Linked DNA regions of Callithrix jacchus. The protein of the gene in region 2 interacts with the protein of the main gene of each other region in a biochemical or structural test. Links are inferred from orthologs where the notes say so. Each region holds a gene or a part of one and is shown on either strand. Other genes may lie near its edges.

Region 1 (3,497 bases), on a different chromosome or scaffold from region 2:
GTGAGATGGAGGGGTGGAGGGAAATTTCCTGAATGTCATCTTGTGCCCCCTCCCTTGAGGCAGGTGGCGTCATCTTCATTTGGGGGGTGGGATGGTTACTGAGGCTCAGAGAGGTTCAGTGGCTCACCCAAGTTCACACAGCTAGTGAGTGGATAGGTCAGGGGCCAAACCAGTCCAGAGAGGTGTGAAGAGGGCTGCAGGGTGGCTGGCCGACAGCACTGGGAAGGATGGTCTTAAAGGCCCTAGAGAAAGTCCCCAAGGGTCAAAGCTTACCAGCTCTCTGTTCCCATGTCCTCCCGAAGTGGATTTACGCAGCCGCTCCACTCCCTATCACAAGGTCACCTCACTCTGTCACCCACTCTTCTCAGTGCAGCGGATGTCACGCCTGCATTGGGATAGGTGGTTTGCTCACCCATCTGATCTGGGCTTGCCCATGGCCTGTTGTCACTTGGTCATGACGTGCACTTCTCTTTCCCTCTGTGCCGGCCTCCCTCCTCTGCTGCCTCGGGCTGTCCCTCCCATACCCTCTCGTGGGTGCCTCCTGGCAGACCCTAGCCCTTCACGCCTAGCTCTGTGTCACTTGTGAGCTGCTTCTGCTCTGTGCCTTGCTTGGTCTCTCTGGCTGTCACTTGCTGGTTCATGATGGAGGTGTCACCGCATCACTGGGCTAGGGCAGGGGGCTGGGAAGCTGAGGGCAAGTGAGTGGGTGGTGGCCTGACCTCCTCTCCCCACCCCTTTCTCCCGTAGCTGTTCTTCCACCTGTCCCGGGAGCATGTCTTCACAGAGGAGCGGGCTCGGTTTTATGGTGCAGAGATCGTCTCAGCTCTTGAGTATTTGCACTCTCGGGACGTGGTGTACCGCGACATCAAGGTTAGTGGCAGGGTGTGCACCAGGCTGGCCCGTGGCATGCAGACGGGACTCACACCAGGGACGTGGGGCCGAGGCCTTCTGCCCTCATTCGCCAAGCTCTCCCCACCAAGGTCCAGGGTGGTGGTTCCATAGCAAGTGGCCCCAAGGTAGGGACCTTTCCAGGTCTCCATGAGCCCTCCTAGGCTGCTAGTGGGGTGTGAACTGGCACAGTCCCTACTTTATTTTTATTTATTTATCTGAGAAGGAGTCTCCCTCTGGTTGAGTGCAGTGGTGCGATCTCAGCTCACTGCAACCTCCACCTCCTGGGTTCAAGGGATTGTCCTGCTCAGCCTCCTGAGTAGCTGGGATTAGAGGTGCACCCTACCACACCCAGCTAATTTTGTATTTTTAATAGAGACGGGGTTTCTCCATATTGGTCAGGCTGGTCTCGAACTCCTGACCTCAGGTGATCCACCTGCCTCAGCCTCCCAAAGTGCTGGGATTACAGGCATGAGCCACTGCACCCGGCCTTGTTTTTTTAAACATAAAATAGGGATGAGATCTTGCTGTGTTGCCCAGGCTGGTCTCAGACTCCTAGACTCAAGCAATTCTGCTTCCTAAGCCCCCTCAAAGTGCTGGGATTACAGATGTTAGCCACTTTGTCTGGTTGCATATTTCATAATTAAAAGACAAAAAGTGTAGAAAAAAAGAAGAAAGCGGTGGCTCACGCCTATAATCCCAGCACTTTGGGAGGCCGAGGCGGGTGGATCACAAGGTCAAGAGATCGAGACCATCCTGGTCATCCCTGTCTCTACTAAAAATACAAAAAATTAGCTGGGCACGGTGGTGCGCGCCTGTAGTCCCAGCTACTCGGGAGGCTGAGGCAGGAGAATTGCTTGAACCTAGGAGGCGGAGGCTGTGGTGAGCTGAGATCACGCCATTGCACTCCAGCCTGGGTAACAAGAGCGAAACTCCGTCTCAAAAAGAAAGCTAGTGCCCACCCCCGTGTTCGAACTTAAGACCCTGTAGCTCTCAGTGGGGCAGTGGGTAGACAGGGCCTGGCTCCCGGATCTCCCTGCCCAGCTGTTCTCAAGTACCTTGAGGGTGGGCCAGGGGGCGGAGCAGGTTGGGTCTGGCCTCTCTTTGAGCCTCAGAGGTTGAGGCTGTGTGTGCTGGGCCCAGCCTGGCCTGAGAGAGTTGATATCTAGGACCCCCTGGCATCTTCCCCTGAAAGGAAAGGCTGGGGCGGCAGGAAGCCCTGGGAGCATGTGCGTGAGATACGTTGACTTTTCCAACAGCTGGAAAACCTCATGCTGGACAAAGACGGCCACATCAAGATCACTGACTTCGGCCTCTGCAAAGAAGGCATCAGTGATGGGGCCACCATGAAAACCTTCTGTGGGACTCCGGAGTACCTGGCGCCTGAGGTGTGTGAGGTTAGGGGTGTGGGAACATGTGAGACCAAGGGTAGGGGAATCCCAGACCTGTGTGTTTCCAGCCTCAGGGCCATGGGCCCAGCCCCTCATTTCCCCTCCATCCTCAGGTGCTGGAGGACAACGACTATGGCCGGGCAGTAGACTGGTGGGGGCTGGGCGTGGTCATGTACGAGATGATGTGTGGCCGCCTGCCCTTCTACAACCAGGACCACGAGCGCCTCTTCGAGCTCATCCTCATGGAGGAGATCCGCTTCCCTCGCACGCTCAGCCCCGAGGCCAAGTCCCTGCTTGCCGGGCTGCTTAAGAAGGACCCCAAGCAGAGGTGAGGGCTGGTGTCGGCCCTGCCCAGCCCAGCCCAGCCCAGCCTGGCCTGGCCCCGGCTGCTGCCACTGTCCCTGCAGCCCAGAGGGGGCTGTGTCCACAAAGGCACTCGCTTGTGATGTCACAGTGTGTGTTGTCCCCACACAGCCCCTGAAAATGCACTGGCCCTTAGGGAGAGCTTTCCCAGGGCGGGGCAGGCCATCCTTGACACTGCTTTGGTTTATGGGGACATTGAGGAACAGGGCAACCCTGGGCCTGGCTGGGGCCACCAAGCTGTATGTGGCAGAGCCAGAATGGAACCAAGACTGCCCTACTAACTCCCTTTCTGGACTCAGGGTGAGGTCAGGCTGACCCTGGGCACGTGAGCTCCCTCCCTGAGCCTCAGTTTCCTCCTCTGTGAAGTGGTGGTTTGTGGTCAAGACAGAATCATAAAGGCCATGCAGGGCCTGCCTGCGCCGAAAGCCTGTCTCCCTGAACCCAGCTGCTCTGGGAGGCAGGTGCTGACAGCCATCTCTGCCCAGGCTTGGTGGGGGGCCCAGCGATGCCCAGGAGGTCATGGAGCACAGGTTCTTCCTCAGCATCAACTGGCAGGACGTGGTCCAGAAGAAGGTGAGTCCCCACTGCCAGCCCCAGCAGGACCCTCAGGGGCCTGGCCCACCCATGGTGACCTTGGTTGAGGCCTCCTGGCATCAGGGTCCCTGAGCCCGGGCTCCTCTCCTCCGTAGCTCCTGCCACCCTTCAAACCTCAGGTCACGTCTGAGGTCGACACACGGTACTTCGATGATGAATTCACCGCCCAGTCCATCACAATCACACCCCCCGACCGCTGTGAGTGCCTGGGGCACCCTGCCGCGGTATGCCTGGCCCAGTGGTGGAGGGATGGGATCTGCT
Region 2 (3,818 bases):
AATTTTTGTGATGCAGCCTGTTTTTATACTGGGATTGTTTGGCCCCTGAAGTGGAGCAAATACGAATAGGTTTACAGAGCTAGAGACAGATCATTACTCAAGAAAAAGCCAGTTTTTTATTCCTATAGTTTGCTTTACCACAGCTAAGAATGCCCTGTAAGACAATCTACTTTACTGAAATACTTGAATTTCAGTAGGTTACCATTGAAATCTGCCTCCACTTTATTGCCCTAAGGGCTAAACCAGGTGCCACTAATCCCTAGATACTTTGCTCCCTCTACCAGGAAGTTCAATTCTTGATGGCTTGACATCAAAGAAATGTTCATAGGCTCTTAAAGATAGACAATTTGTTTACCACATCTCAAATGGCAAGATACTGGTTCAAGTGAGGAAAATGCTCATTTGAAAGAAAAGCAGCAGAAGAATGAAAGTATTTTCCACTTGAGCAGAAGTTTATCTTTCCAACTTAAGTCAGAGGAAATAATCCTAATGAGTCAAGTGACTTGAAATGACTCTGGACTTGCCACGGGTGGATCTTTTACGCTTATCTGCACAATTCCGTACCTGCCCAATAACAAAAATATAGTAATCCCTTTTCATGCATCACAAATCAAGTATCAGCATGTAATATTGATAATACCCAACAAGTAAAGACAGGCTTTCATTACTAATCCTGTGCTTACCCATGCTCTTCAGTGTAACTGTTCAAAGACTTGGAAGTGCTTGTAGTTTTCCATGACCCACAGGATATGTATGTAATGTACAGGAAGGACTACCTGTGAGTTAAGGGTTATTTATTTTTTTTCTGTTGTTTGCTTTCAAAGGAGGAAAAATATTTCAATAAACAGGAACATCTGAAGGGTATGGATAAAATTCAAGGCTCATACATGGTCTGAATTACTTTCCCATGGATATACAGTAGTCAAACTGACTTTTTATGAAAACGTTGGCAATCTCACTGTCTATGGAGGAAATTGAGTGCTGGCTACAATGATACGATTTGTCATTTTAGTTTTCAAAATCATGCCAAAGCAAATGCCTCACATAAAAAGATGGAAAATAAGGGACAGTGGTTTTTCATTTTCACATGGCTAAGATACGTGCTTTGATATTTTAAACAACCGGATTACTTTCAATTCCCCAAACAATCTTGTGCTCTCTCTTACTTTTTGGCTTTTGCACATGCTGGTCTCCCTGTCTGGATGTTTCTCCTACCATAAAATACACTATTTCCATTTCTCTTGGTTAACCCCTACGTATCCATCACACAGATATTTATTAAGACCTCACTTCTTAAAGGAGCCTTCCAATGGCTTCAACTGACCTTGAATGGTTGTCTGGGCCACACTCCATTCTTTGAAAATGCCTTCAGTTTTATTTTCAGCAAGAAATTCTTATTCCCAAAGGACACTTAGTTTATGATACATGATGTAATGAAAGCCTACTATAAATTGTAACTCCTTTGTTCATGTTCAGCTGGTATTATTCATTATACATAAATAAAGCCATGTATGTACCCATGCAACAATCCTGCATGTTCTTTACATGTACCCCAGAACCTAAAATGCAATAATATATATATATATACATACATATATATATACACACACACACATATATATATATAAATAATAATAATATTACAACTATGTGACTTTACACATACTCTCTAAAAAGACTTTACTGTGTCAGGCTTGGCCACAAGCTTTCCAAGCAAAGCGGCGTAAAGAAGGGAGAGAGGGATAAGTAGCTGCTGGGATGGGATGGAGGCAGATTCACTGACTTGTTTAACAAATGTTTATTGAAGCCCTACTTTGTGAATCACTGTTCTGGTTCTGCTGACGCAGCAAGTAACAAAAAAAGTAAGTAAAAGATAAACAAATACACTTATCTCCATCTTACTTAAGAACTTTACCAACCCCACAAAACCCAGCAAATGGAATAAACAGGAAATAGTGTAGGTGACTGACAGTAAGCATACAGTGACATTTAACAAGACATAGGAATGCTTTTAGCAGGGAGAAAAAGTAAAGAGTTTCAAGTATCTCACTGTCTTCAATAACTGCAGGATAGGATGTAGGCATTCCTCCTGATCTGTCCAGTGATGTGTAACAGGGCATTCGTGGTGCTTTTTGTTGTAAGGACTTCTCAGTACTCAAATTGCATAATTAAGATTTATTTAGTAAGCTGAATAGTAACACAGCACAAGTTTCCACAGATTAATTTACCTCAACATATGAAATTGGAAATATTCCTATCTTGTCTGCCAGCATTCCTTCAGCCCAGTTTTCATCCACTCTTCGGATCACAGTCAGAACATCATCCTGAAGAAACAGCAGATCATTAATCTACCTGATCATTTAAGCTGTACAATTAAGCTTATCATTTAATTTTCCTTTTCAATGAAGAGACTCGTGTTTTAAAGAGTACATGAATAAAAATGCTATAATATATCTTTAGTTCATGAATTAAATGGTAGCTACCAGTCCACCTGGTATCCCTTCCAACTGTTGTAAAGCTATGAACTCTATGCAAGGGAGCTGGCTGCTAACTTTGTTAAGATCTACAAATGCAACCTCACATGCTACCTACCCTAGTCTCCTGAGTTTGTGTTTTAGATTGATTCTCAGATGCTTCTCATTTTCTGAAAATAAACCAAACGCTTACTCAAAGGCACCTCCTACTGCCTTTCTTCACAAAAATTGCAATATTCTTCTGAAAACTCCAAACCATTTTATCAATTCGGTAGATATAGTCTTGTATGCATTTAGCAAAGAAATCTACATATAAAATAAGAAAGTAATGACATTTCATTTTATTACTCATAATTCAGTACTTTAAAATCCCTGAGTGCTGCATACACTCTTTAAAGTGGCTTAGAAATAAATTCAGATTCTAAATATGAAAATGACACTACATAGAGCATCAACCAAAATAATCTTTCATATAAGAAATCTGTGCACAAAATTACCTTCCTTGTGACTTAAAGACTGCTTCTAGGCATTTTTAGAAGCACAGTGAAATAGTTCACACAAAACTATTGTACTGTTTTGCAAAAGGCAACACAAGCTATATTCCCGTGTATCTGAGTACAGAGGTAGAGCTGGCCCCCAGAAGACAAGCGCATCCGATCTTTACCTTTGCGAACGGAAGGCAATCTTTGTCTGCTTCCTTGTCTTTCACTTCAAAGTCATAAAGTGCTTTGCACTGAGGTGGGGGCTGAGGTAATGGTTTAATAATCTGCACAAAGTTGGTGGGGAAAAAGCCATGAATTCCATTGACTTCCCCATGGTACCAATTTTCATCCACTTGTCTTCGCAAAATGATGATGTCACCTTTGCTGAATTTCAGGTCTCCAGGCTCCTTGCCTTCATAATTGTATAATGCTTTGGCACATGGTAACTGAGGTATACCCTTTAAAAAGAAAAGAAGGATAAATTTTAATAAAATGATTGTCCTAAAATGTCGTTGAAAATATAGCTGCATTATCATTGTTTTAAAGTCAAGGTCAAATCCACACTGTACCCCTTGAAGAAAATCTCACACAAAAACCATAATATATGTGTTACCAATAAATAAAAAATACAAAACAATTGTCCATGGGGAAATAAGAATAGTACGACACCCATGCACTAACCATGATTTAACCTTCTATTCTTCCTTTATTTATTTCTTATTTTTTACATAAATTTTTTATTGTACTTTAGGTTCTGGGGTACACATGCAGTTCATGCAGGATTGTTGCATAGGTACATACGTGACAATGTGGTTTGCTGCTTCCATCCCCCATCACCTAACGTTTCTCCCCATGCTATCCC

What was found.
Region 1: the proteins of SH3RF1 (region 2) and AKT2 form a complex in vitro, tested with the Homo sapiens proteins (2 studies listed by BioGRID and IntAct, with this or other methods). The link is inferred for Callithrix jacchus from reciprocal best matches to the Homo sapiens genes SH3RF1 and AKT2.

Annotation. Positions count from the first base shown.
Region 1 is NC_133523.1:35,802,890-35,806,386, reverse strand, and holds part of AKT2 (RAC-beta serine/threonine-protein kinase), read left to right. Parts: intron 1-273; exon of another isoform or gene 274-385; intron 386-747; coding exon 748-870; intron 871-2,147; coding exon 2,148-2,276; intron 2,277-2,333; exon of another isoform or gene 2,334-2,392; coding exon 2,393-2,607; exon of another isoform or gene 2,608-2,676; intron 2,677-3,103; exon of another isoform or gene 3,104-3,127; coding exon 3,128-3,215; intron 3,216-3,331; coding exon 3,332-3,434; intron 3,435-3,497. UniProt on the Homo sapiens protein: Serine/threonine kinase closely related to AKT1 and AKT3. All 3 enzymes, AKT1, AKT2 and AKT3, are collectively known as AKT kinase.
Region 2 is NC_133504.1:22,144,404-22,148,221, reverse strand, and holds part of SH3RF1 (E3 ubiquitin-protein ligase SH3RF1), read right to left. Parts: intron 3,415-3,818; coding exon 3,139-3,414; intron 2,325-3,138; coding exon 2,229-2,324; intron 1-2,228. UniProt on the Homo sapiens protein: Has E3 ubiquitin-protein ligase activity. In the absence of an external substrate, it can catalyze self-ubiquitination. Stimulates ubiquitination of potassium channel KCNJ1, enhancing it's dynamin-dependent and clathrin-independent endocytosis.